4 linked regions of the Schizosaccharomyces pombe genome follow. Changing the gene in region 1 together with any one later gene gives a genetic interaction. Each region holds a gene or a part of one and is shown on either strand. Other genes may lie near its edges. The genes, in order: rgf1, mtl2, bgs4 and art1.

Region 1 (8,902 bases):
AACAAGTGGATGTCCAACCAATCCAAGCGGGAATCACTTCTACGTTGAACTATTCCTTCAAAAAAGAACTCTCTTTCAGGATCCCTTAGCTCTAGATTGACACTTTCATGATTTTTAAACAGAAGTTGATACGATAGATCGCGAATACGATTGGCCTCAAGTACGGTAGCTATAACGGCATCACATTCCTCGCAAGTTGCTCTCAGTTCTTTGACAGCTTGAGTTATTAATTGAAAATCCCAGCTGGACTGCTCGGTATGCTTTAAAATTGTATCCAACTCAAGCGTGTATCTTTGTAAACGTTGAGTAGGTCTTTGCAAGAAATGCTGGAAATCCAACCGACGACATCTAGGATCTGATCGACAAGCAGCAAGCCAACGTGCAAAGTAAGTATTCCTTTGACATTCTAGCTTATAAGTTTCATCTGCTAAAGGGAACTGTTTGGCATAATTAATATAAGAGGATTTAGCAGCATGAATCCACTCTAGTAAGATATCACCAATAATTGAAACTACTGGGCCCTGGAGACGTTCCCTCATAATTAATTGTGGTAAGAACAGTCGAGAATGCAATTGTCTGATTGATTCAACATTTCCAAATACAGATTGAATAAAGTCAGCCACTCGATTGCTGGGAACAATCGCATCTTGCTGCTGCACAATTCCGTCCCTAAACAGTTCAGCTAGGGTATTTAAGTCTGCAACGTAATCAGATTCCTTACAAATAAGCTCGTGGATATTATTTTGCCTAGCAATCTCTCTTTTACTGAGAGAAGATGGTAATGAATTTAGAGAAGAAATGTTCCAGAAAATGCTCCAAGTATCGCTACTCTGTCCTGGCAGAGAAGTGAATTCAAGCGACGAGTTACGAGCACATCTACAGCTATAACATTGATATTTGGAAGGACATGATCTGGATCTACAAATGTAAGAGTAACAGCCGCCGTTGGTCAAAAATGGAAGTACTCCACTACCAGAAGGAGGTTCATTAGATGTGAAAGCAATTTGAAGCTTTTCAAGATTTATGACTTCCACAAGACCGTAATTAATCCAATCACCAAGGATGTTTTTCGCGATAATTTCAGCAATCAAAAATTCCATAGATGCAATGTGAATAGTAAATAGCGTAGCCATCACCTGAGCTACTTCTCGACGAGACACACCTTCGTGGACCAGGCCACCAAGAGCAGTAAACACTTCTTCTTTGCACCATTTGTATAATTTACCGACCAACCAAGGTTCTCTACAGCTGCTAAAAAGGGTTTCCGATTGAGCACGTCTGTGAGTTCGAGTTATCAAAGGAGAAGAAATTTTTCCAGATGCATAGTCTTGGACAGGTATCTTTGGTAGCTGTCTTGTAGAGGAAATATCAGATTTTAAACTATAAGGATTTGGGGGTGTTAGATATTCGACGGAAGGGCTTAAAGGCGACTGTGGACGAAGAGCGTCGCTCGAGTAAAGACGAATCGGACTAGGAGTGCGAGCCGGTGATCGAGTAGGTGATAAAGGAAGATATGGCTCTGGTGAGCAGGATAACGATATGTCATTGTATAGAGAGTAAAGACTAGTGGAGGATGTGGTGCTGTAAGGAGAAGAATGCGAAGAAACAGAAGAAGGAAGGGGTGGACGTGGTAAAGGATGCACTAAGGACCCACCAGGAGAAACAGGCGTTTCAGGTAATGGACGAAACGAATCTACAGTATTTTGTTTGTTTCCAGGAGATGTTAAAAAGGGGTCCGTGTCAAGCGGGTTGTTAGGACTGAAATCATCAAATAAGGCATTAGGAAATGAAGAGTAAGTAGTATAGGCTGCAGAATTTTGAGGTTCATTCGGCAATTGTCGATACGTTGTTCTTGATGGAGATGACTGAACCGTGTAAGACGCGACTCTACGAGAGTTAATGGATGCTGGATGTTGAGGAGGCGAATAAGAAAACCGATGGGGAGAATTATTCGAACGTTTAGAAAGAAAAGGAGGAGAAAAGAGTCTGGTGGTAGAAAAGTCGGAAAACGATAGACGTTTCTGAAAAGATGGTGGAGAAGAGGAATGAGGAGGATAAGTGTCCTCTGAAGAGTCTAAACAAATTCGGCTCTTTCCACCATGGTCTTTCGAGCTCCGATGAAAAAGTTCATTGGAGAGCTTCATAAAAGAAAAAGTGGTAGGGGGAACCACAATCACCAAAAATGACTAGGTCAAAAAAGAACTACAATAATATTTGAAGAATCAAGGCAAGCTAAGGCCAAATAGGAGTCAATTTCAATTGCAATCCAAGAAAGAGAAAGGTCAAAACTAAATGTTGCAGGATGGACAGTGCAACAAAAGAGAAAAGAGAGGTGAAAAAAGATAGAAAAAGGAATTGAGAAAGAAGAGTATAAAAAAAAAGAAAGAAATGCGAAGAGAAATTAATAAATGGAATAAAATAAGGGAAAATAAATTAAAATAGAACAAATTCAGTGTCAATGGAATTCAAAAAATGCAAACCAATCTCGTACGCCCTCAAAAAAAGCAATTTTATAGTAAGCCGGAATGAAAACGATTGATGCTTTCAAAGTTATGCGATGAACCAGAGAAACTCCCGTCCTCTATTAATAAAAGACTTTGACATAAAATTACGAATACAGAAAGAAAGAAAAAAAGAAAGAAAGAATTGTATCGCAATATCAATGCAACAGTCTGTTTATTCGGTTTGTGATGCCACAATAAAAGGGTTAGGGCGGAAGGAATAATATAGGATGATCTGATTGAAACAACCCAAAAAGGAAAGAAAGCTCCCAAGCGTTTCAGAGGAATCAAGTTTCGTAGGTTTATAGACAGAGAAAGAGAGAAAGCAAAAGCAGTATATTATGAAAGGTAATGACTTGATCAAAAAAACAACCTCTTCTAATGAAACGTTTGGGATAAATCAAAATCGATGCCTAAGAAAAGATTATAGGACTTTATGGTTTTTAAATATATGTGTAAATGTTAAATAACTTATAACCCACCACCAAGGGATCTTCGTGGACGGCGAGCGGAGTGGATAAGAAAATGGCTGGTTGTATGTTCGCGACGGAAGAACAAAATTGGTCTTTGACTAGCAAATTTTCCAAATTTAGATTACATGATTTAAACGATAAATAGGGCAAATAAAGTGTACAAAAAGATATTTGATCAATTTATATGATGTTGAGCACAAGCTGAATAGTAAACAATGCGAACGCAATTAAAATAAAATAAGTCAATACAGCATAGTCATAGAAATCGATCAATTGAGGTTATCCGGATTAAAGCTAATTATTTTAGATGATGTTTTTCATATTTGTAAATCGGTAATACAATTATGAGCTGGTCGGACAGAAAAAGTGAGCACATAAATTGCAGCAAGTAGAAAAGCAATAGGCAATATAAAGTAAAGGAGTTCATTCATGACTTCCCTTTTTATATAAGCGTTTTTTTTTTTAGTGGAAAGTCGACCAGGATGCAGTTGAATGTTGATATTAACTTTGTTAGGACTAGTGAAAATTCAGATTTGTACTTTTTTTTTAAGGAGTTCAAGACTTTTTTACTACATATTCAACATTGAAATCACCTTATCTATAGAAGAAGTAGATAAACTTAGCCCAAAACAGCATACTGATGACTTATAGCTTCTCATCCCTTCATAATATTAATGCGGTTTACTGCTGCTGTAACAATTCTTCTGATATATTAAGTATACGTATTTTTCCCTTCGAGGATAATCTTTTCTTAATATACCTGTTGCTCTCTCAAATTGCTAAGCAGACAAGTAAACAAATCAATTGTTTCATTGAACGAACCAGGACGGCTATATAAACTTATTATTATAATTTAAATCAAATTTTAAACATTCAACTCTGGAAACACTAACAAAAGCCTTTTTTTATGTCGCCTTTTAGCATGTGTTTCGAGTGGAAACCCTCCATGCAAAAGAAATTGAAGGTGAAAGCAATATACTAAAGCAAAACATTAATTCATCAAGCAATACGCAATTTACATATTAATGGTCTTTGATTTAGAAAATCGTATAAATTAGAATTTTTCATCATCTTACCGTTATAACGAGTTCGTAGCTACTTTCGCAGAAAGTTTGTGGTCAAATTATCTTGTCTTTTTCTCCACCACCAAACCCTCGTTTTCACGGGAAACATTCAGCATTGTCGATTCGATCGTCAAACTGATTGTTTTTATAGTAGCAATGGATTACCGGCATCCAAATGCACTCGGTGTGAATGAGAGCTCGCGTGCTTATGAGGAAATTTTTGGTGCTCCAAGAAAACGGGAGCCGGCGAGAACTGTAAGTACTCCTGCGTTCATGGAACCGGCTCCAGTCTCAAAAAAACCTCTTCCTCCTCCCACGCGAAGGCTTCCTCGGAAACCTTTGCCCTTTCGTTCCACGAGTTTGCAGCCTCCATCGTCTCAACCTCCTGCACCTCCAACTCATCAGAGAGAAGCATCTCCTGTGAAAAATATTGAGCACAGTGAATCTTTTCCTTCCGTTTTTGGTACTTCAAATAATCACCAGATCGTCCCATTGACTCTTAAAGACGGAAATGATTTTGGTGCTCTATATGCATCTTTAAACACCACACCCCATTTTCCTCAGGTATCGAATCATGCGCCCAATAACTCTAATTCCCCTTCTTTGACTTGGCACACATCATCCGGTGATGATTCCAACCAAAATCCTTTTTTCGTTCGGCGTCAGTCTCAGAGTAGCACGTCTCCGGTTTCGGATTCAGTAGATGAGAACCTCCTTTCAGCAGTCTCTTCTGTTACAGAGTCCGTAGAAACAAACCTTCATCTCGATCAAAATTATCCTTACGGCTCTCCTGTTCGTTCGTCTAAAAATCCCTTTCTCTCTTCAAATTCTCGATTACCAACTGATGATTCTTCTCACACTGTTGGTTCTCATTCATTTACTTCAGGAACTCACCCACCCATTGTTTCTTCTAATTCCGCCTTTACACTTCCCAATGCTGTTACTCCTGCAGCTCAAGCACCTCTCATACGTAGTGTTAGTGAATATCCTGCTAACGTTTCTCCACCTGCCCAGTCCCTTCAGCTACCAAAATCTACTAGCAATCCCGCGGATCTTCATTTAAGCATAGCTTCTGCTAGCAGCCATAAGAATATTTTTTCTGGGTTGGACGTCTTTTCTAATGTCTTTCATGGTCCCTCTACCACATTACGAGACAGAGAACATGATATGCGAAATCGCTCATTTGATCATTCTACCTTGGCTCATTATGAAGCAGTTAAGCAGCAGAGACTTGGTGTTGAACCTACTGCAAGGTCCTTTACGTTGAGCTCTTATAAGTCCCGTGCAAGTGGAAATTCCCTAATTAATGATCGAAGCTCTACAACAACGCCGACGTTTGTTAATTCGGAAGCTAGCTCGCCTGTTCATAAAAATAAACGAAGACGCAGAATATATGCTGCCTTACTTTCTCGTGTTGCCAGCGAATTGTTAGATAGACTACAGCTAGGTGATATCACGAAAGACGGTTTAATTTATTCTAATGCCTTTACTGGCGATCATGCAGTCACCGTGCTAATGGGTATTATACATACTTCTGATAGAAATCTCGCTTTACTTGTCGGACGCTCTTTAGATGCACAAAAATTTATTCATGATGTTACCTATGATCATCGTCTTCGTGATTCTCATCGTGAAATATATCAGCTTCAAGGTACTGGTTATCGCCCCTTCTTACGCGCAAATGATAATGCATCCATTAACAACAAAAACCATCATAAGGAATTGGAGGACAATGAGTCGGGCACTCGAATCTCACCGTCCACGTTAGGTGACACTTCTTTTCCAAATGGTATATTTACTTTATTGACGCATTGTTACTCTCCAACATGTGCAAAAGATCATCCCTGCTATTCTATTTCATGTCCTCGACGATTGGAACAGCAGCACAGACTATTTGCCAAAATGCGTGCAAACACTGAACAGTCTTCCTCCCTAGCGTTTGATGATAAGGAACAAAAATTGTGGATTCACAGCGTACCCCAGGAGATTGCTTATAGTGTCAGTGACCGGGAAAGAAAGCGTCAAGAAGTAATTTGTGAGGTTATCTATACTGAGCGAGATTTTGTTAAGGATTTGGAATATCTTCGGGATTATTGGATTAAACCACTATGGGCTTCATCTTGTATACCTGAACGAAAAAAAGAAAAATTTATTCGTACTGTGTTTTTAAATGCTTTAGAGGTTCAAGCAGTTAATTCTAAATTGGCTGAAGCTCTTACTAAAAGACAAAACTATAAACCCATTGTGGATAATATTGCGGATATATTTTTGGAGCACGTTCCAAAATTTGAGCCTTTCATACGATATGGTGCAGGCCAACTCTACGGAAAATACGAGTTTGAGAAGGAAAAGTCATCTAATCCTGCATTTGCTAAGTTTGTCAGTGACGTTGAACGTCTGAAAGAATCACGAAAGCTAGAGCTAAACGGCTATCTGACTAAACCAACTACCAGATTGGCTCGTTATCCATTACTTCTAGAAGCGGTATTAAAATATACTGATGAGGGTAACCCTGATAAACAAGACATTCCGAAGGTCATTAATATCGTTAGAGGATTTCTCTCACGTCTTAATGTTGAAAGCGGAAAAGCAGAAAATAAGTTTAACTTGTTTCATTTGAATCAACAGCTGGTCTTTAAACCTGGAGAACATTATGATTTACATCTGCTTGATGCGAACAGACAATTAATATTCAAAGGACCCTTGAAGAAAAGAAGTGCTGGTTCCACTTCTTCAGAGTCTGCGTCGGATGTTACTTTGTTTCTCTTTGACCATGCTTTGTTGATAGTAAAACCAAAGACTATTAATAAACGTGAATTATTGAAAGTTTTTCAAAGAGTATGTTTTTTCTATTCATTTAAATTGTTTTTTCTAACTAGTATAGCCTATTCCTCTATTACTTCTTCAACTATTCCTTGTTGATGATAATGGATTAAGAATCCCTTATTCAAGTAAGCAACAACTAGCAGCTGTATCAAAAGCAGCGAATGGGAAGCCACCTTCTAGATTTTATCCATTTAGCTTACAACTTTTGGGTCGTAGAGGGTACGAAATCACTCTTTATGCAACCACTGAAGTTAGTAGGGATAAGTGGTTAGAGCATATTGACAACCAACAAACATTGCTACAACATCGTAACCAGTGGTTTGAGTCTGTTACCATTTGCTCTAATTTCTTTGTTGGTGATAATAAAGTAAATGCGATAGGCGTTTATGATAGTGGTCGTCGACTTTTATATGGGACTGACACAGGTGTGTACGTCTCTCTTCGAAAAGCAAACAGCCCACTTCAATTCAAGCCTGTACGTGCGTTAAATATTCCCAACATTTCACAGCTTGAGGTTATTGAAGAGTATAGTTTATTGCTACTGCTTTCCGATAAGGTGTTATATTCGTATCCTTTGGAAATGATTGATGCGGATACTACTCAAGCCCCTAAAAAAGCAAGGAAAGTTTCTGGTCATACAACTTTCTTTCGCGTAGGAATTTGTCTGGGTAAAGTTCTTGTGTGTGCTGTCAAAAGTTCCGTCTTGAGTGCTACTATAAAGGTTTTTGAACCAGTCACTAATTACTCTAAAACACGGAACATGCCAAGCTTGAAAAAATTCCTTACTGTTAACCAAGACCCATTGAGGATTGTCAAAGAGCTTTATATACCCACGGAATCAACTTCGGTTCACTTCCTGAAGAATAAACTCTGTGTCGGATGTACGAGAGGTTTTGAGGTGGTCAGTCTCGATAACCTAGAGACGCAGTCTCTACTGGATCCAGCCGATACGTCTCTTGAATTTGTGGAGAAGAAAGAAAATGTTAAACCTATCGCTATCTATCGTATGAATGGCGGTGAATTTCTTTTATGCTATTCCCAATTTGCTTTTTACGTAAATCGAGATGGATGGCGTTCTCGTCCTACATGGTTTGTTGTTTGGGAAGGAAGTCCTCAAAACTTTGCCTTAAGTTATCCTTATATATTGGCTTTTGAACCCACTTTTATTGAAATCAGACATGTTGAAACCTCTGAATTGATCCATGTCATTTCCGGCAGAAACATCCGTTTGCTTGCTGATGGAAGAGGAAAGTTAGGGGACGGTGGTGAAATATTTTATGCGTGCGATCAACGTGGTGAAAATTGTGAGACAAGTGTTGTTTGTTCCCTTCGATTGACGAGTGCTGCTGCCCACGCCAAAGAGCAGCATGTAGACAAGTAATTTTGGTTTTTTTGAACTTAATTTTCACGTTTTATTTATAACGGTTAATTGGATATTGGTTTGTTCGGTTATCTTTTCTTTTCTTTTTTAAAAAAATAATTTAGGTGCATGAATTTTAATGATAAATAAGATTTTTTTAAAATATATACGTTAACAATATTTTAAAGTGAATAACTAGATATATTGTAGGCAAAAAGTACTAGCGAATATGATCAATGTTACTATACTAGAAGTAAAATATTTTTAGTCCTCATATTCTAGGGGATCACCATATACCCAGAAACCGATATGATTTAGACGTGCTTCTTGCTGATGCTCTTCTAGAATATTGAGGGATGCGGTATCTTTTTCAAAGTGAGATGTTTTTTTCTTGGGAATAACACTAGCCATGCCGAGCGCAACCAGTTGGGCATTAATACAGTCAGAAAAATCTGAACCATCACTAGGATTATACAAAGTTACAGAATACACGTTTCCTTCGTGTCCATCGACTTTAGCCACTAGACCTTTATTCATGGCTAGCTCCCTGAAAACGAGTCTTGCGTCTTCATAGTAATCAGAGCTGGGAGGAGGTAATTGAACGTAACTGAGACGAGCAAGTTGCGCTTGAGGCTTCAATTTAGTATAGGTATCTGGTAAAGAGGATATGTTTTTGAA
Region 2 (7,937 bases), on another chromosome or scaffold:
GTGTTTAGTTTGAAAAACATGCAAGGAAGTTGGCATGAATGGGAAAGTAAAAAACGAAAATCTAAAAGATAAATGAGCCAGAAAATTTTGTCAAGGCGAAGCTATGCAAGCTGGACAAATGTTTAAAAAAAATAATCTTTATATTTCATTTAATTTCTTTGTCTCGCTTTACTGCGGTCTATCTTCTATATATTTTGTTAACACTAGGCAGAGTAACAAATTTGTCTGATGCTGGACAACTTTTTTTCATTTTTTGCTCTCTTTTTCTTCCGAAAAAGATGAAATAAGAACACTAATAGCTCATGATAATTAAATGTTCCACTGGTTTATTTGACTATTATAACTCTTTCACCTTTTAAGAACTTAGAAATCAAAGGCTTGAAGTCTTGAAATGAGCTTGGTACTGTGTACAAAAAAGATAAATTCAAAGGACTCGTATGAATTTATGATGTGGTTTTCTTTTAATCAGTCAACCGTAGTAATAATAATTTGTTTACATATACTTTTTAATAATGTTAAGGTGCAGATGTTCTCAAGAGCCTGCTCAAATATTTAGTAATGATGATTTAACAATTAAGAGAGCAAAAATTAAGTTACTATTTGAATGCGTAGCTTAAAATTGATCAAAGTATATCTACGGCTTTTACAATAGTGTGATGGCACGGATATCACATTCCGCATTGCACTGGACCACACTATAAGTCAACACTGAACTGATCGAGGAATAGGTAAGCATTCCCCTTCTCCTTTTGATCAAGAACCATCATTATAACAAAAAAAACAAACACAAAAAAAGTCGATGTCATTGTCGGAGTATCTTCGTGAATTCGCTGAGATTTTTGAGGAAGCTGCACAAGAATTAACCTCAATATTCGAACTACCTCCTGACCTGTTGAAAGATATTACTGAAGAGGATGTTGGGACTGATGACTCTTGTAATAAGAAATTCCTTGAAGTTCAAAAGCAAAAAGAAGATGAAGAAGATGAAGAAATATTGAAAGGAGTGGATTTAACGCAGCAAGATTCCGTACGTGAAAAAATCCACGAAATACAATCGATGTCGCAATTGAGTGAGAAGAGAAAGGCCTTACTTATGCAGGTAAGTACATGAAATTAATCATAAAAGTGAGATTTAAATGAAAATAAGATTACTAAACTGGCTTTGTAGAAAATGCTGATGTCTGGTTATTTAAAATATCGACGAACTCACAAGAAAGAATCTGATGAGAACCAATTGAGCTCATCTGATCTTGAAAAGACTTATTATGACAAAGAGCAAGAAATTTTAGGGTGTTCTCATTACATGCGCAATTGCAAGGTTCAGTGTTTCGATTGTCACGAGTGGTATACGTGCCGTCACTGTCACAACGATGCTTGTGATCATGTTTTAGAACGACCTGCCGTAGAAAACATGCTTTGCATGATATGTTCCAAGGTTCAACCAGCAGCTCAATATTGCAAATACTGTAAGAACTGTATGGGCCGATATTACTGCAATAAGGTATGTGATATTTTATTTGATACTTGTTCAATATCACTAATACATGACTTAACAGTGCAAACTTTGGGATGACGATCCGAATAAAAGTAGCTATCATTGTGATGATTGTGGTATTTGTCGAATAGGACGCGGTCTTGGCGATGATTATTTCCACTGCAAGGTAACTTTCGTGTACTTTTAGCACATGCTTTGCTTTTTAAACTCATATTCTAACAGCTGTAGACTTGTGGCCTTTGTTTACCTATTTCGGTTTTCAATACTCATCGTTGCATCGAAAGAAGTACGGATTGTAATTGCCCAATTTGTGGTGAATACATGTTTAACTCTCGCGAACGCGTAATCTTTTTAAGTTGCTCTCATCCGTTGCACCAGCGATGTCATGAAGAATATATAAGAACCAATTATCGTTGTCCTACTTGTTACAAAACGATCATTAATGTCAATTCATTGTTTCGAATTTTAGATATGGAAATTGAACGACAACCCATGCCTTATCCCTATAACACTTGGATTTCTACCATCCGTTGCAATGACTGTAACTCACGTTGTGATACGAAATACCATTTCTTGGGTCATAAATGTAATTCATGTCATTCTTACAATACTTGTATTTCATCAATTTACAAACCTTTGGATCACCCACAGGTGTCTATCCCTCGACTGGCAACCGCTGAGGATGCCGGTATGCGACGGCTAATGGGACATTCTTGGGACAACAGCGATGAAGACTTTAATATTTTCGGGATTCACAGTTTTATATAGATTTTCTAACTTTATGAACTTCCTAAACTGTTACGATTATCCTATATGTACTATTATTTTGGAAAAGTTGCTATTTTCATTCAATTCTTTGCAAGAATTACGAATTTTTAACGTTTACCCCAATTGTCTGATTATATTTATTCCCTTTTCTCGTCCTTTTGCATCTACTTCTTATATGGTTTTTTTTCTCAACAAGTCAAGCGATGGTATGAAGTAAATCGCTTAAATTTCCTCGATGAAGAGAATTTCTGTTTTAATTAATCTAAACTCATCTACTTTTGTGTGAAGCTATGGTGTCTTGAAACATTCGCAAACATAAGGACTTTGCTTCATGCAATTCTGGGCCTCTCTCAATATTTCAATTTCCTGTTATTATGACTTATATGTTATTTGTCTTGATTTTTTTTACGGCTGGCATTCATTAAATAAAGAGTTTATTGTCATTCCATATTCATCTAATCCTTCAGATTCCTTTTAAACTGACTTTTTGTCTAGAAGATGCGATCATTCGTCAAGTTACTGCAACTATTCTTGTTACTTTTCTATCTGTCGTTGTGATTCTTTAGCAGCATCCAACTACAAAATTTTTTTACCACACTTGCAGTTGTCTCTTAAGAGCAGGTTTAGTAACGTGGATGGGTTGTTAGTCGGAGTTACTAGTCAGATGAAGCGATAATACTAATTTTCTACTATATCAATTTAATTTGGCATGAATAAAATTTCAATACATTGTTACTATGTAAGGTGGTTAACTCAATTACCGCGTGGAAACGATAGTGTCAAATGCAGCCATATGTTTCAAGCCAGTAGTAAATGGCATCTACTGTTGCGGATGTTTAGTAATTTAAAATTAGGGAAATCTATATGAATATTGCAGTATGTGAAAACTGTGGTAGCTTTCTCATTAAGCGCAAGTTAACGGCGATCTCTTTTTATCCAGCCATTTGAAATGAATAATTTGCCTTAGTAAAATTTCACCTGGTTCGTAACTTTAAGGTTCTTTGCTAGAGCATTGATAGGTAACATATTGGTAAGGTGAAAAAAAGCCTCGAAACTAACTCGGAAAGAATCCCCACATTGAAAAGTGCATCACCCTTACCTATAGGCAAAGCCAAGCAGGACCGCGACATTTTCTCTTTACCGCTTACTCTTCACCGTGCTTTTAAGGGAATTCATCAAGATACATTGAAATTGGACGAGATCTTATTATTTTTCTAGAAAAAAAATCCAACGTTCTTTTAAAAACTTCAAAAAACCTTCTTTCTGTAAGGGAATTCGCACGCAAGAGAAAATGTCATTCACGAACAATACTTCAAGTGTGGACACTTCCCTCAGCTCATCTGCTTCTAGCAGTATTCCGGCAAGCAGCTCTTCTGCTGCTGCTAGTACGAGTTTGAGTAGCTCAAGCGTGATTCCTTCTAGTTCGAGCTCTATGCTTTCATCGTCTAGTGCTACTGCAATTAGTTCTTCATCATCGTCTTCACCTCTTTCATCCTCATCTTTTACTTCTCCTGCTTCTTCTTCTTTTATCACATCTTTGGTCTCATCAAGCAGCCAACAAAGCTCTAGTAGCAGTGCTTCATTGACCTCTAGTAGCAGTGCTACACTGACTTCCAGTAGCAGTGCTTCCCCGACCTCCAGTAGTTCGAGTCACGCGCTTAGCAGCAGCAGTAGTTCTCTTGTCGCTAGTAGTTCCTCCAGTGGGATGTCCAGTAGTTCCTTAAGCCATTCGTCTAGTGTCCCATCATCTAGTTCTTCCTACCACAGCTCTTCCATGACTACGAGCGGCTTGAGTTCTTCAGCCAGCATTGTCAGTAGTACGTATCGAGATGGACCCTCAATAATCACATTGGTCTCAACTTCTTACGTTTCTGAAGTGGTGACCCCCACTACTACTAATAATTGGAATTCCTCCAGTTCTTTCACTTCCAGCACTTCGTCTACGCCTATTAGCTCTTCTTATTCTTCCAGTGGCACTTTGCCCAGTAAATCTAACAAGTCAAGCAATCATGTCGGCGTAGTTGTTGGTTGTTCTGTTGCTATTCCTGTTGGTGTAGTTCTAATTTTGATTGGTTTAGGAATTTTTCTTTGGAAAAGGCATCAACGGTCCAAACGAATTAAGGCTGAGCGCATGCAAGAAGTCGAGGAATACGGATTTAACCCCAATCAACCCTCCAATTTCCGTAGCCCAAATCGTGCTCCCTCTACTAATAACAGGTATCGTGGCTGGAATGGAAGCCCAACACCTGCTGCTGGAAACAATACTAACGGACGGCCTGTTGCTCCTAGACCTTCTGCCGGCGCTGGCGGAGCCAATCCGCCTGCAGCTTCTCAGCCCGGCCTTTTGGGTGGCAGTAGTAATTCAGCTGGTCCAATTGCAGCTGCTACCGCTGCTGGTGTCGGTGCTGATGCTTCTGATGCAGCTAATACTGGTGGAAGCTTTACTCGTCCTCAAGGAGCCCGTATGGTTAGACCGATTGGAAATCCACCTGATCTTTCTGCTTCTAACGAAGCTGAAGCTACAATGCCTCCATCTAATGGAAGCAACTTTTCTGAAGGTTTGTCTGCATCTCCGTTTGAGTCAGGCCCTGCTGTTGGTGCCGCTGGAGCTGCGGCCGAAGCTGCAGAACACAGTGGTTCTGGTTCAGATTCCTATCCAGAAGGTCCTTTAGCTACGATTCCTGAAAGTGACAGTGAAAGCATGGCTAGTGATTTAGCTGGAGAATCCTCTTACGGCTCGAGGGCAGCTCTGTCTAGTCGATCTCAAAGCAATCTTCTTTCCCCAACAAGCACTGGTGCTTCTAACCAGCCCAATTATTCACCTTTTGCTGACAACCCATCAAGTAGCAACGTTTCTATTCCTCGGTCGTCATCGGAAGCTCGCAGGTTGAACCTGTTTTAAAGTATGCGCTTAAACACTTGTTGCGATAGATTTAAGCAAAAATTATTTGTTTACAATTTCTGGATATATCCGTCGCTTAAAATAAATGCGTTAGTTACGCTTGCCTTCAATTGATGGTAGAAAGTCTTGCGAAGAAAAGCTTGCTCATCACTTTTTCGTATAACAACTTTTTCTTTATTCGGCTTTTACCTTTGTTTTTTACGAAAATCTTAAGTAATCGATCTTTTCAATCTTATTGCTATCTCTTTGTTTTACCGTTACTCACTCATTTCCTTTTTGCTTGAACAGTTTTATGGTATTAGAAATTCACATTCTCATTGCAAAGCTTTGTTATTATTATGGGTTTCGCTTATACCATCTCATACAATCAATTGGTCCGTCGGTTTACTTTCTTTAAAAAAGGAGTTATTTAGCAAACTATTTATCCTTCTTTCAAACTTTCTTTTTAAACTTAACTATTTGCTTTTTCTCATGGCCCTCTTTTTTTAAGAAAATTTCGTTGCTTGCATTTCATTCAAAGTCTTAAATATGTCATCTGGTTCCTTAACTTATTGCTTTTAAATCGACTTCATCTTTTGACTGACTTTTGAATTTTTCTTTCAATTGTTTCACTGTAGTGAGATACAACCCTTAAAAAAGTCTCTTTGGTTTGTTTATTCTTATCCTTTTCTCATTTGCATTTCATTACTTATCAATCATTTCTGTTTCATTCGCCGTTTCGCTTTGTTTTTTCATTTGTACATTTCTTTACAGAATGGCGAATTCTTGTCAAATGCGACGGAAAGCCAATTTTCCTGAATAGTGTAAAACGAAATGAAACTTTTAACAGCTACCTGTTTTCCATCCCATGGTTTCTTGTTATTGAAAGTGGATAGCAAATAGTCTTTATGACCAGCCATTTCAATTTTACTTTCAGTCGCCTAACCAATCTCGTTATCTCATTTCTTTGAAATAAATGTACATACTGTACTTTTTCCTTTTCTTTTCCTTCCGTTCCTTTTTCACCGTCTCGTATATGTAATGGAGCGTCACGTTCCCTTCGCTGCACTTATCGCTCTTACTCTTTCGTCATGTTGAGGACCATCTAGCTCTACTTTCTCTCGTGTGGCTGGATGTTTACTTAACTTTGTTTTGGCCAGCATGCTCGACTACTGATAATTAAAAAATAAAAATTTTGAGCATTGTCTGTTTAAGAGTTGTTGCTAAGTTCTGGCTTTATTACTTTTATTCGCGGCACTCCGTTTGCCTTCTTGTATGTACCTTTTACAATTCTTCGTTTCCTCTCTTTCTTCTCAGTTCTAACTATCACTTGAACGCAAAGTGGTTAGATATACATTTTCCTCATTCTTTCGTATTAAATCAATTTATTAAATGCTTATAGCTTGCAAATCATACATTGTGCTGCATGATATTTACTTTCGTAGTTAACACGTAAAACGTATTTTCTGTACGCCAAAAAAGATAAAGAACAATTTGGTAATCGCGTTGTATATATATAAGGAAATGGGTTATAATGCGTTAAGGATCTAATCTGCAAGACCGATTAATTCTCCTTTCAGCCAACACCACGCGAAATCCGACGGATTTCAAAATTGTGCGCTGAAAGCACGAATTTGATTAAGGATTCCTTTTGTAGTTCTTTTTTATTTATTTCGTTCCCGAAAAAAGCGTTTTTGTATCAAATAGAAAGGATAAAACGGCCTTAATTGAAAGTTTTTTTTGCAAGCACAAATACTTGACTTTCTTTGGGAAATTGGCTTTTTTTTATTATCCAAAAGCAACGCTGGTTTGAAATTTTACCATCTTTTCCCCCTATGTCAAACTCAGCTCAGTAAGTAGTTCTTTAACTGCTATAAACACATTTGCTAACTTTTATGATTAGATCTCGTCGAATTCGAGTAACAAGTATGTGATGACATTATTCAAATGCCCTGTGCAAACGCTGACCCAAAATAGTTGTTGCTGCTGATGGCCTTTACAAACGAGATGTGTTTCGTTTTCCTGACCCGTTTGCGGTACTAACAGTGGATGGTGAGCAAACACATACCACAACTGCTATCAAAAAGACGTTAAACCCTTATTGGAATGAGACTTTTGAAGTGTAAGTGTATATCCCAGGTTTTGACCTTTCCAAGTAACTTTTATGTATATCAATTTTAGTTGGGGTTTCTTCCAGTTTATCCCTTATAATTTAGCTAATGTTAACTTTTTGATTAAAAACAATGTTTCTAACAATTCTTTAGTAATGTTACAGATAATAGCACCATTGCGATTCAGGTGTTCGATCAGAAAAAATTTAAGAAAAAAGGCCAAGGCTTTCTAGGAGTGATAAATCTTCGTGTTGGAGATGTGCTCGATCTCGCCATTGGAGGTGATGAAATGTTGACCCGCGATTTGAAAAAGTCAAATGAGAATACAGTAGTTCATGGCAAGATAATCATAAACTTATCAACGACTGCGCAGTCAACCTTACAGGTTCCATCCAGTGCAGCATCAGGTGCACGTACCCAACGTACTAGCATTACCAATGACCCGCAAAGCTCACAAAGTAGCAGTGTGTCTCGTAACCCTGCTTCCTCTCGTGCTGGTTCACCTACCCGCGACAACGCACCTGCTGCTTCCCCTGCTAGTTCAGAACCTCGCACATTTAGTTCATTTGAAGATCAATATGGGCGCCTTCCTCCTGGATGGGAAAGACGTACCGATAATCTTGGCCGAACTTATTATGTAGATCATAATACAAGAAGCACAACGTGGATTCGCCCCAACCTA
Region 3 (6,827 bases), 1.0 Mb from region 1:
AAAACATAATCTGCTACCCGCCCAATAAATAGAGCAAAGATAAGGTCGCATGGTACTCAAAACAATAATAGGATCTCTGATAGACAAGGTAAGGAAGAAATAAGATTCAGCAAATTTGCATGTGAAAACACAGACCCAAATAATAACAGAGAGTGCTTGGTTATCAAATTTTAATGGTGCAAAATTTGAAGTGAAATACTTGTTTGCCAAGTATTTACGAGAATCTTTCACGGACAATTTTCCAAATGTACTTTGTAGAGGTACAAGAGAAAAGTAGACGTATGTAGCAATAGACATCAAAAATGCAACTACACCAACAGCGATACGTCGACCACTACGCTGTTGATGCTTACTTGAGAAACCGAAGATATAGACGATAGGAATCAAGTTAATGATAGCGATTAAAACAATGATACATAAACGCTTCCAAATGGGTTTTGATCCAGGGAAACGACGGGGGACAAAAAGATATTCACACAAAGAAGCAGCAGCCATGATAATACAAGAAACAACAGAGGTACAAGCAACAGCAGCCCATTGGGAAGCACCTGTTGGCTTGGGACCATCGCGCTGATGGAAAGGTTTTGTGTAAAGAGTAGGAGAGTTGAAAGCAGTAAAATACCAAAACATACCAAAGTGGATGACCCAAATACGATTGAAATTGGTAATAAGATGAAACCAAGAACGGGATTCATAATAAGTTTTATAAAAAGCACGATTCCATTGAACTTCTGGAAGCCTATGAAAACGCTCAGAAGCAGGAATATCAATAAGACGAGTGCCGTCTTCAAAAATAAGACGTGCTATACCCTCAGCATGCCAGAAAAGTTGGTTAATATCATCGTATCCAATTAACTGGTCATGTGGACGTTCCCGACGTACATATTTCCCATTGATAATTTCAAACTGCTGATCGTGCATATATTGGTAGAGTGGGGAAACAATATTATCCAAGTAATATCCTTCAGGAACTGGTTCAGTGACGTTTTGTGCCTCAGGTGAAATAATATAATCGTAAGCACATTTGAAAAGGAAGGCTATTACCTCAGGCATGAAACGAACATTGTTTGCCTCACCCCACAACAAAAGCCACAATGCAATTTGTTGAGCACGCTCGAATTGAGTCATTGAGCGCATGTGAGATCTCCAACGATATTCGGCGGATTCTAAAGAATCATCGGTATTAACATCAATGTATTCGTCTTCCGCCTCCTCGGGTTGCTCCTTTTTCTTCTTGCGCTTGAAGCGAGACTTCCTTGGAGGCTTAACAACTTTAGGGGCTTTTTTGTTTCGAGAAAAGAACTTTCCTTTCTCTTTGATAGAAGTAACTTTACCACCATAAATGCCAACATTAGCAAGACCGACTGCATCTTCCCGATCCATCTGAGAAGCAAAATACCATTTTTTATAGTTAGCAATATCACTACCAATATAATCGGCATGAAGCGTAAGCAGTGCTTGATCTGGAGTCATGCGAGAAGCACGAGAATCTAAAAGACACATAAAAAAATCATACATATTACGCATGGAATCGCGTTGGAAACCCAATTTATTGGTTAGATCAATGAATATGTCTTCAATCTCTTCCTTAGTTAAAGGGAGTTCGTTTTCAGGAGTCCAGGCAGGATAAGGCTCACGATTTGTGAGATTAGCGCTATCGGCATAGAATGAACCACTATCGCCATCCAATGGGGTACCTGAGCCCGAATTACCAACAAAAGAAGAGTTGCTAAAATCATACGGACTGCTACCGTAAGGCACACTGTTGTAGACGTTAGCCAACGAATCGGAACTAGGATCATAAGCGTTGTATCTACCATCGCCTCTCAAATTGTAAAAATTGTTGGCATCTGAGGGCTGAGCATTGTAATCTGAATACTCAGACTCGTATTCATCTGAAGGACGAGTAAATTTTCCTTTTTCAGTGGAATATTGATTGATACCTGAAGAGGCGGTGTCGACAGGAGTGTATTCATCTCCATAACTTTCAGTTACACCAGTAGGGTAATCATACCCATTGTAACCCTCTCCATACATAGAATCGTAGTCAGCCTGATCCAAAAACTCCTCATTGGAATACGCATCAGCAGGCTGGCGTTGGTATGCATTTTGGTCATCATAAACCTCTGAATCGTAAGCGTACTGATCATCCGAGACAGCATCATGACCAGTAATACCTGAAACATTTTCATTATTTCCAGACATTTTCTACTATGCTTAAAACTTGTAAATAGATTGAGGAATGAGGACTAATTAGAAATATGGTGAAAGGAGTTCCCAGTTAAAGAATAACGAACAGAAAAAAGAAAAGAATGAACAATTTCAATAGGAACTGAAAAGAGGGACTGATGACTTAATGCTTATCCGCTCTTGTAAGCCAAAATGAAAAAAGAACCAATTAATGGATGGAATAAAATATCAGAAAAGTAAAGGAAAAGAAATAGAAATACAAACACTAAAAGAGAAAAGCTTCAACAAACAAGATAAGCAAACTCCGTGAATGATCAAAGTGACTTATCTAAAAGAAATTCACTCCGTTAACAGGTTGAAATGACGATAACCGTATGTAAGGGTGGATAAGCGTCAAGTTTATAAATGGCGATATATGGGTAGATATTAACGAAAGAAAATTTCTAAAAAAAGGAAGGAATTCCCTGTAAAAGACTGTAATGAAAAAGAAAGAAAGGAAATAAAGGTAAGCAGATGATTTGCCAAAGCTTTGAAATAAAATTTAAGTAAGACAAAATCTACTCCAATGCGATAAAATATCAAGAAAGTAATGCACTAACAGATGCGTGTAAAACGGAGAATGCCACAAATGATGAACCCAAAATACAAGAGAAAGGAATATACAATAAATTTTGAAACTCGGAAAAAACCGAAGAGCTCTTAATTTTTTTCACGCTAAAATCACTGTATAAAACCCTTTGCAAACAGTACGTCTATTAAGACAAAGTAAAGAAGGCTCAATGGACAAAGCTCCTAAATACCAATGTCTGTCGATTCAACAGATGAAATGAAGAAGCCAGAACTTTAAGAAAAGAACTAGATGCTGTTGATTCTTGGGGATAAGATAACTTTCTCTCAGTCTTTTTCTTTGATTTAGATATAAAAAAACTTCAAGGGCACTCCAAAAAGAAGGGGAGGGGAAAGATTTTTTTTAAAGCGGGAAAGAAGCGAGAAGAAAAAGGCTGGTGGGTATAAACGAGGAGTATCCGCAAATGATCGTTATTATATGAAATTAGCAATAATAATAATAAAAGAGAAAAAAGGAAAACTTTGAATCTCTCAAAAGCAATATGAAACGAATAAAAGACCGTCAAAGTTCTTTTTACCACAAGGTATAAGAATTGAATAACGGGGAGGTAAAAGAAGAAGTAGAGAAAAAAAAACGATGAAGCAAAAACAAGTCGGAAAAAAAAACCGATGCCTGTTTGTTTTCACAATCAAGGAAAAACTTTTGTTGCAGTCCAGAAGGCAAATGGGGTCTTGCTCTTTTTTCAAAGGAAACTTGAAAAAAGCAGGCCTAGTTGCCTCACACGAAGGAGACTTTAATCGGGAGAAAAGAGAATAATTTAAAAATACGGATTGTTAAACAGTTTTCCCGATATGTGAATCCTATAGACGTTTGTTTTCAACCAAACTTCAGGACTACGCAAACACTTTCGAGATGTGTTGTTGGCGGAGGGTAGTGTTTGGTTCAGGAGAGACGGCTGGCGTACGTTGCAGGACCACCATATAAATCTTAACGAAACACAATAAAAATACTTAAATATTATTAAAAAACTAATATTTAAAAGGGTGACTACTAAGCCATAAAAACCCCAATGGAGAGGAGTATCGAAGTAGTAATCAGATGCAATTTTTATCAAGACAAGCCGGTCCTTTTATAAGCAGCGTAGTTGGTCTTGCTAAGTAATTCCTAATGTTGATACCAGCAGCTCGCAAAATATATGTATCAATTAATAGAAGGAGGGATAGTTGAAGGCAAGAAAGAGACTGCAGAAAACATGAGCTATTGAGATGAATAAAAAAAATTATAAAGTTAAAAAACTGAATGGGTGAATTACAAAAAAAAGACAAGAAAGTAAATAATTAAAATTTGTTTGATATAAAAAATGAGTACGATGGAAGTAAAGTTGTCGAATAATCAAAAAGAAAAAATATCTAAGCAAGAGAAAAATATGCAATAGAAAAACAGATCAGATTTTTTTATTTAAATCGATCGTCTTTCATGAAAAACTAGCTAATATTTAAATGTATTTTATTCAAACCCTCTACGCTTTAGCAGCATTAGCGGAACGAATTACGTTTACCAACATTAGGAATGTCTTTTCATTCAATTTGCACACTTATAAATAAACATCCTGCTGCTATTTTCGTACAATCCTACTATGCACATGCTTTCGAGCAAAAAAAAAAAATAAATAAATTAAAATTAATTAAGTTAACCCTACAATAGAAAGTGTAATTTTTCGGTTTTCACTATAGTGAAATTTTTAGTGACGGTTTCTTGCCATATTGCTAGAATCGTATGTAAAATACTGGATATGGTGTGGGATGGAAGAAGCAAGAAGGTGGCAGAAGAGAAAGTAGATAAGAAGAATGGGATAGAATATAATGGAATCAATGTGTCATTGGAAAATTCTTTAATAGTTCTTTTACGCTTTTTTTTTCTAAAAAGCTTCGAGGTGCAACATTTTTCTTTGACTTACTACCTAGAAACCAAAATGTAAACAATCGGTTATGTACAATGTAAACAAAGGGAAATTTGTTGTAACCATTGATCATCCTCTTTGCTACACCACTGATTGGGAAGAGCTGAATCTACAAGTAACGCTGTACCATTATTTCTATGACAACCGGTAACGGGCTCCGATAGGGTAAATAAACAAAGCTCGCTACGAGTAAACAATTGGTTTGTTTGGAATTGGCATATGGGACCGATAATAGCGGCTGGAAAAGGAAACGGTAGAAAACGTGAAAAGTATATGAAAAGAGCAGGCTAGATGAGATAGCAAAAGGAATAATGGGTAAGATAGATGGAAGAATAGAGTTGAGCGGGGAGAAAGATTTGGGTGGTGGGTAAATGAGGAAAGAAAAAGGTCGAATTATTGGAATGCAAAGGCTGATTAAGCGTAAAAGTTTTAAATCCTTTTTCAATGGCGCAAAAACTAGCCTGGTATATACATGGATGCATATTACCAAGATCCTATAAAAGTCCATTTGAAATTTCGCTCTTTTTTGGCTGTCCCTTCTACTAGGGAAGCGGCCAAAATTCCTATGAATAGAATGGGGAAGATGGAAAGGCCTGGTTCCTTGATATAGCGTGGTTTAATAGAATATCCTAGTAGAACATTGGGTATTGCCACAGAACTCGCAATGCAGAGCGGTGGAAAAATAACCGTGTACGGGAATTGAAAAACCATTGATGGAAATGGATGCTACGGGGATTTTGGAATGCAAGCAATTATAGCGAAGAACCGGAATCACATTAAAAAATCTAAAAAATTCATCAATTCTCCTTAATTAGATACTATACATTCAATCTCTCCATGTATTCAAATCTCTTAAATTGAATTCGTCTATTTCGCCAATTGTCAATTACGTTTCCATACCGTACATTTGAAGTAACGTTAAAAATATTTTAAAAAAACAAATTCATTCGGTTGCATGTTCCGATTCTAGTAGAACGATATTATTTGAAAATGGTTTCTTTCTTCTAGTCTACGAATTACCGATTTTTTTTCTCGTCATGAAATCGCCCGCCATCGGGAACTTAACGAATCAATTGTACTATAGCGTCTCGGTTTAAAGACGGAAAGGAAATTTTAGTTGGTTTGCTATCGTAATTCCCTGCCAAAAGCAATGTAAAACGGGAATCCGAGATAACAGCAACCCTGGGAAAATCACTGTTTCCTATACCGGTTTCTACAACATTATTCTATAACATTATCCAGTGAAGTTAAGACTAGCGGTGGTAAGTTAAGTCTCCTCATTGTTTACACATCGCCTTTCGTCCTGAATGCTAGCGAATGTTTTCAAAGAAGTTGATTTATGGAAATCGCTAGACATTCAAACTGCGTAGTATAACAAGCAGCGTCGGTTGGACGATACATTGGCGGAAATTTCAAAATTAAAAGAATTTACTTCTCTTGCTCTACTACATTTCCTTTTTATCGCTTTATTTTTCTAATAAACCTCTATTAATGCTCTTTATGCATACCTTTCTTGTTAATTCTATACTACACTAATCTTATTCTATCCTAATTCTGGTTTCCCGCCAATTTCAATTTAATATGACTTTATGCAAGACAAAAGGCCGAGACTTTATCCATGCAATTGTTTAAAATAGATCAGACATACTTACATATAAACGCTTCCAAAACAAGCTTAGCGAACAATAACTTAGCTTGCACTGGTACATCGGAATATTCACGATTATTACTAAATTGCCACTCATCCCTGATTCCTGTATGTGCTAAAATTTCAAATTACTTTTTATCGCTACATTGTTATGTGCAGCCTCGGATGATACCGACTATAATTTGATACTAACTAGTTTGTAATGATGGCATTCAAAATGTTAGCAATTCATTCACCATACCTGTCTCTACTAGTGTATGTAATTGTGAGTCTAATAAGAAAAATATGAAAACCTTAATGAGCATGACACTTTGTTTTCTGTTCATCACACTCATCAATAATTCAATGGGAAAACGAAATGTGAACGGATTTTAAGTTGCTGGAATGGTAAAATGCGTTCATTCAATAATGTGGAATTAAAAAAAAAAGACAAGAAAATAAAAACTTACAAATTTAAAACA
Region 4 (6,431 bases), on another chromosome or scaffold:
TTCATAAAATTGAAAACTTCCCACGCCTTTGTAAATTCTTTGGTTCGAGAAAATGCCTTGATACAGGCATTTAAGAAATCCTTTGATGGGGTGATTGAGACTGATTTTTGTTCTGAATAGAGTGCAACTAAATCCTTGTGTTTACCAAGGGAAGAAAGTGCAATAGCATATGATTGATACACCAAACCATTCGGAGGAGCATTTGATTTTTGATACAAATGATACAATTGGACAGTCTTACGGAAATCGCCAGATGCGTTGGTGGATTCCATAAGCAAGACAAGCAAATCAGGCATAACTTTCATACCACTTTCTTCAACAGCTTTCCAAATTTCTAGGGAACTTTTTGAAATAACAGTTTGAGGAAGATAGTTAAAAAAGTTGACTATTTCTACAATATCAACCCCTAAAAAGCATTTAGGAATGTTTAAGAGATGGCGAAGATGACTGTTCCATTCTTCGGTAGAAACCTGACGATTTAACAACGTATTGTCATTAGCTAGATTTGAAACAATATGATCGACTGAATAATTATTGCTGGCTGTGTTCTTAGATTTCAATAGCCCGATTCTCGTAAGTAGAAGTGGTCCAATTTTCAATGGAGTTGTTCTCCTCAATTCGTGGTTACCTGTAGATAAATGATTTTCTTTTTCCTTATCATAAGAGTTAACTTCTGATATAAATTTAGTCCAAACTTCATCAGGAATGTTAAGGGGAGACTATGCTAACGTTAGTAAACAAGACAGTATCTTTTAGCAGTGTTATTTTGTACTCAAACCCTTTATTTAATAAATATTTTACCTTTTTGTTTATGTCATTTAGCTTAACATCCTTTAACTTTTGTTCGTATTCACGTATTTTCAGATCTAATTCTTTCTGTGCCAACTTCCAAGATGCCTCATTTGTTGAGCATCTAGCTTGTATATTATTGTTCAGGAGATTTTTAGCAATATTAATGTTATTAGGGTTATCTTTATGATAATGTAAACGTCGGCAAGGACCACAAAATCTTCTAACAGCTAAAAGTGTTAAAGAGCCAGAACATTTGTTTAGCATAAGGTACAGTAGCTTCTGAAATCTCAAAAATTAAAGATGTTTGATCTTTTTTCCTGATAAAGTAGTCAATAATATATAGATATTAATACCTGGATTGAAACGTATATTTTGTGGATGGAAAGTTAAGTGGGTATTAAACGCTTTGATAATGATCTCGTATTTTCATTCCTCAAAAGAAATTTAATTGCTAATATTTTAAACTTTTACTTCTGGTTATACTACTATAAGAATGGATTATACAAACTTAAGGAAGAGGTGTGGAAAAATTTTACTCACAATGAGCTTAATATCTAATAAAATTGTAACTGATTTAAGAGTGTAACCGTATACTGGGCTATTAGATAACAAAATGCAATCGTTATATATATTAAGCCTTACTCAGATTTAAATGCTTACTACATCTTTACTTTCAAAGCCACATACATGAAAGTGGAAACGCCGACATAAGTGCAGCCGATGTGATATTCAAACCACATAAAAAAGGAAAGTAGTACATTATATAAGCAGGTTTAAAGCTGTTTTTATTAAACTAAAACCTACTCTGAATAAAGTGAGATTTAAACTGTTGACACAATTTAAAATAAATAGTCAGTTGTACAAAAAAGCAACCAAATAGTGACCAAAAGTCCCACTTGCTAAATCTAGTGAATAAATAAAACAATGAAGACATATTCAATAGAAATTGATTTGATGTCGAAGAACAGGAATACTTTTTAAAACAAAACAAAAACAAGAAGACCATTATTTTTACTCATAGCTTTTGAAACCAAACAAAAAAACGAGGGACAAATAAATAAACAAAGTGGGTATTTAATTGCAAACCAAAGGCTTGCAAATATCGAAAAACACAGGGAAATACAGAGGTAAGGCTTATGATCAACAATATCGGGATTTACATTTGTAGTAAAGCACAGATTGAGCTTGAAAAATGTAACTTCCTAAGATAACAGGACAATGTCATCATTCAAATAAGCAAACATATTATTTTTGGAAAAATCTGAAGCTCGCACAATCCTAACGTTTTCTTCGAGGACAACGCCTCCGTGGCTTTGGCGAACGTCAAGGACTCGGGTTTGAATTTCATTAAGTAAGGCTTGACTTCGTGATCGTTCCACTGGGGAAACAATAATTGGGTTTGTTATTTCAATGTTTCTAGCACGATATAATTGTACTTTGATGACTAGCATGTATTGTACAGAGTAAAGATCAGAGGTGGTCGTGAATCCAGTGATATTTGCATCTTCAAAATCAATGTCGGGGAAAGGTTTAGAAAGGCTTTTCGATAAACCTTCCGATGTAAGTTTCATATCATCCAAATCTTCTTCGTAACGTAATACTTTCTTTTTACGAACTATTGGGCTTGAAGAAGAGGGATGTATGAACGTGATGTATTCAACCAAGGAAAGAGAAAGTTGCTGTACTCGTATTTTAGAACCATTATTAGGCATGATGGAAACGAAGACGGAGACGAGATCCGAAGGTCCAATACACAGTTTGGGTATTGATACCTCTACTACAACACGACCATCGCTACTCACTTGCCGAATATTAGTAGGGGAATTATACATCCCCCAAGAAGATAGATTATCATACCTGCTGAGTGACACTGGTACAGTGGTAGTAATATCCGGTACCCCTAGTAAACTCATGTGAGCACGTAGTTCATATTTCGTGGAGCATATTGTACCAGACCGATTCAATTCAAAAGTCGATGGAATTTCTGAATTTTCGGGAAACGGGATTTCAAAGGGAAGGTCCATTGACCATACCCTATGAGTAGCGTAAGGATCTGAAGAAGAAGAGAGTATAGGAGTTTGGTCACCAAAAGGAGTGATAGATGTGTCATTAGAGGAAGATGTGGTGGATACTGATCTAAACGGAGTGTAAGGAGGTTGATATACCGAAGATCCAGAGGCATTAGGAAGATGAGGTGGAGGGATAGGTGGAGTAGTACGGTTATGAGTATGAACAGAAGGATTATCCTGATCAGACGCATAAGAATCTACTATCCAATCGCTAGTAAGGGAGGGTGGAGGTGATTTGATAGACAAATCGCTGATAGAATAATTATTATCATTAGGAGGTATGTTATTTTCAGGATGCTCGGAATGAAGTGGAAACAAAACCTGCCTTGCCAGACACTTATTATCTGATAAGTGATTACTTATACCCAAGGATGGTATTACCACTGATTCAATTTTCCATAATTCTAACGTTATTTGAACCAAAGCCAAAGGTTGGTGAATTTCTTTACTTCGAACTTGGACGATACCAACCAACCTTGGAGCTGAAGTTGGTATCCCATTAAATCCAGCTTGGAAATCCAAATGTGGTAACGGACGTATCTCCAAAGGAGAAAATTGCCGTATTAGCGTACACGGGGATGTCATGCTCTTACATTTAGTGAGTTCCTCTGGCTTGGTGCTGGTTATGGGAAGTTGAATCTACCAAATGGTAGACAGGTTGGTTCAGTGCAGCAATGTCAGATCTAGATAGCTAAATAAAATCTTTTAAGCACTCGCTTAAACACTGCTAAGTGACTTTTTATAGCAATGAAATTAATAATATTTTATTATATAAAAATCTAATTTTAGGCCAAAAAATGTACTTTTGTTTCCATTCCATAGAATTAAAATCAAAAGCCTACAATTGATAGCCAAGCATCTAAAGCTAGTATCTGTTGTAAAAAAGTTCCATTTTGATTACAATAGTAAAAACTAAAATGACTTTAATAGCCTAATTTTGAAATTGGTATTTTCAACTTAAAATTCACTTACGAAAGCCTAAAATATGTTTATTCTTACAGCAGAAGGCTTTTTTTTTGAATTTTTGAATTTTTGAAACCATAACACACGATTGATCGCAACATACATATACGAAATATAGAAGAGAGACTGAATTCAAACGAAAACAATATAGCAAGATATCAGATTATTGAGCAGCAGAAGAAAGGGAAATAAAGCAAGTAAATACTATTTTACTAAAAATCAAACGAATCTCTAAAAGAACAGATATTTCACGCATAGTTAACAGACAATGCATAACAAAAAATTCAAAATCGAGAAAAACAAGAATCAAGAGCAACTGGTAATGCTAATTTTTGATAGTTATATGAGCCGTAGTATGATAAAAAACCCCGGCGATAATTGAGGAAATTCATTGCTGATGTACGACTCTTTTCTATCTAGGAAATAATGATTGTTTGAAGGATAACCTGAATATAGGGCTTTCTGTTCATTCAAAGATCCCTTCAGGAAGTGTTAAATGGTTTGTATAAAACTAACTCACATTTTCCGATTTATCTTTTCATTTTCAGGGCATATATCAGAACTTAAAACAATTTACTAGTAGCGATACGCTACCACTTACTTATTAAACGCTTAAAAGAGTAACACAGTGTACTGTCATGAATGTATATTTTATAAAAGCAATATGATATTTAATTTACATTAATATACTTGTAAGCTTCTCACGGCTAAAAGTAGTGATAGCCCACATTGAAGTAGGATTTTAGTGTAATGAAATCAAACACAGTAGGCCCTAAAGATAAACGGACACTTACATGTTAAGCAACATAATTTAAAATCTTACAAGCAAAGCTAGCGGCTCGAAAGCCAAACATTGTAATATAAACACAAAAAGTAGTTTGTTTACAGTAAATACCGCAATACTCGTATAACGAGGTATTTTCACAACGTAAGCAAGAACGCGCTCATCCTTCCAGGTTGTTGTGTGTCACAGCCTCTCGCGATTCACCCTTTACAATTCACTCGTGAATGATAGGAAAACGCAATGCGTCAAAAAGGACGCGTCAGGATGATTGTATTACATATGAAGAGTATCAAAGGAAACGTAAAAAGACATTTTTGAACACGTTTGTTAATATTTGTTCTCGTACAGTTACTTATGCAAAACTTTTTTTGACAAAAACTCCCATTTCTGAATTGGATCGCATCGCTGGCGAGGCGATACCATCTAATAGTAATAGTACAAATTCAAAACTAGAGCCTTCTACTAAAGCCCCTGAATCTCGGTTTTCTCACATAAATTCCAAGACTGAACGTGGTTACGTGACGGTCGAATCTGATATGTCTTCTCACAATACTCTTGACAGAAATAGTAAACCTACCGTTTCTCATTCATATACAAATTCTAGTAAGGATGAAAAATTTTTGGATCCCATTGCTCTTCAAAATCTATTTTCCCCTGCCTCTGACACGCATTCTCAAAACATCCATGACGAAGCATTATCTCCATCAAGCTTTCGTGTGTCTCGTTCGAGATACTTCCCCCGACCTCATCGGTCTTCCAAAAATTTATCTGTTAGTAATCGGTTACAGCTTGCGGTTTTTAAGGAAACAACTTCATCGACATTATCCCACGGTAATTCCGTTGAGGCTGACGAAATAAACTCTTTTAATCCTACACCTTTCTCTTCTTCTCCTCTGCACTTTACGAACTCCTCTCCAAATCCAAACTCTGACATTGTTACACCGGACAAGCAGCTAGATGTTGTTAGCGAACACGCCAGATATAAACACCTTCCTTTTACGGCTACGTTAAGAAAGAAAAGTCCTCATGATTCAACGTCTCGGAAAGCCTCTTTTAGGTTCGTTCAATCTGATCAGCAACCAGCGCGGAATATCGTTACTTCTGATATCCAAAATGAAAAATCATTACTGTTGCTAATTCGAGATTTGAAAGAAAAGCAAACAGAATCTTTTCAAGATTGGAACGAAGTTGACTTTTTACAATTAAAAGGTTTGGAAATATCTCCACCCCCCACTCGCCCCAAGTTCATTCCGGAACTTGAGTTTCCTGATAATGCTCGAAAGCGTGCACTGAAATATTTAAACCAAAGCAATTCTGTTTCCTCTTCTGAACCCATCATCACCAAATTTAATATTCCAATCACGCTTAAAGACTTGCATACTCTGCGGAATAGACAATGGTTAAATGACGAGGTAATTAATTTTTACATGAATTTGATTTCGGAACGCTCTAAAATTGATTCATCCTTACCTCGGGTACATGGGTTTAATACTTTTTTTTATACATCTTTGCAGCGCCGTGGATACGCGGGTGTTCGAAGATGGGCCAAAAAGGCACGCGTTAATATTGCAGATATGGATGCTGTATTTATACCAGTACATCTGGATGTCCACTGGTGTATGGCTGTTATTAACAAATCGAAGAAACGATTTGAATACTGGGACTCGCTGGCCGGAAGCCCTGGTAAAGTTTTTGATTTGTTGCGCGACTATTATATTGCAGAAACAAAAGGTGCCGTCGACGTGTCAGATTGGGAAAATTTTATGGATGACAATTCTCCAAGACAACGAAATGGACATGATTGTGGAGTTTTTGCTTGTAAA

Evidence for each region.
Region 2: of rgf1 (region 1) and mtl2, extra expression of one rescues a mutant of the other (dosage rescue), as found in Schizosaccharomyces pombe (one study listed by BioGRID).
Region 3: of rgf1 (region 1) and bgs4, extra expression of one rescues a mutant of the other (dosage rescue), as found in Schizosaccharomyces pombe (one study listed by BioGRID).
Region 4: of rgf1 (region 1) and art1, extra expression of one rescues a mutant of the other (dosage rescue), as found in Schizosaccharomyces pombe (one study listed by BioGRID).

The regions. Positions count from the first base shown.
Region 1 is NC_003421.2:1,241,069-1,249,970, forward strand, and holds rgf1 (RhoGEF family guanine nucleotide exchange factor Rgf1), read left to right. Parts: upstream 1-4,117; 5' UTR 4,118-4,194; coding exon 4,195-6,876; intron 6,877-6,922; coding exon 6,923-8,245; 3' UTR 8,246-8,402; downstream 8,403-8,902. Other genes in the region: RhoGEF for Rho1, Rgf3, read right to left, coding at 1-2,144; tudor domain and nuclease, Snd1, read right to left, coding at 8,489-8,902. UniProt on the Schizosaccharomyces pombe protein: Stimulates the exchange of Rho1 and Rho5 GDP-bound form into GTP-bound form. Controls septum formation, cell wall synthesis and localization of F-actin patches. Coordinates actin deposition with cell wall biosynthesis during bipolar growth.
Region 2 is NC_003424.3:3,956,344-3,964,280, forward strand, and holds mtl2 (protein Mtl2), read left to right. Parts: upstream 1-3,405; 5' UTR 3,406-3,554; coding exon 3,555-5,165; 3' UTR 5,166-6,571; downstream 6,572-7,937. Other genes in the region: P-TEFb-associated cyclin-dependent protein kinase Lsk1, read left to right, coding at 9-72; SPOM_SPAC2F3.16 (ubiquitin-protein ligase E3), read left to right, coding at 800-1,099, 1,169-1,501, 1,557-1,661, 1,724-2,263; HECT-type ubiquitin-protein ligase E3 Pub1, read left to right, coding at 6,980-6,996, 7,048-7,070, 7,122-7,266, 7,409-7,937.
Region 3 is NC_003421.2:2,252,942-2,259,768, forward strand, and holds the start of bgs4 (cell wall and secondary septum 1,6 branched 1,3-beta-glucan synthase catalytic subunit Bgs4), read right to left. Parts: upstream 3,712-6,827; 5' UTR 2,206-3,711; coding exon 1-2,205. Other genes in the region: SPOM_SPCC1840.13 (uncharacterized protein), read right to left, coding at 4,828-5,226.
Region 4 is NC_003423.3:2,362,285-2,368,715, forward strand, and holds art1 (arrestin-related substrate adaptor for RhoGEF, Art1), read right to left. Parts: upstream 3,530-6,431; 5' UTR 3,447-3,529; coding exon 1,995-3,446; 3' UTR 1,531-1,994; downstream 1-1,530. Other genes in the region: PPR repeat-containing protein Ppr3, read right to left, coding at 1-719, 802-1,056; SUMO deconjugating enzyme Ulp1, read left to right, coding at 4,833-6,431.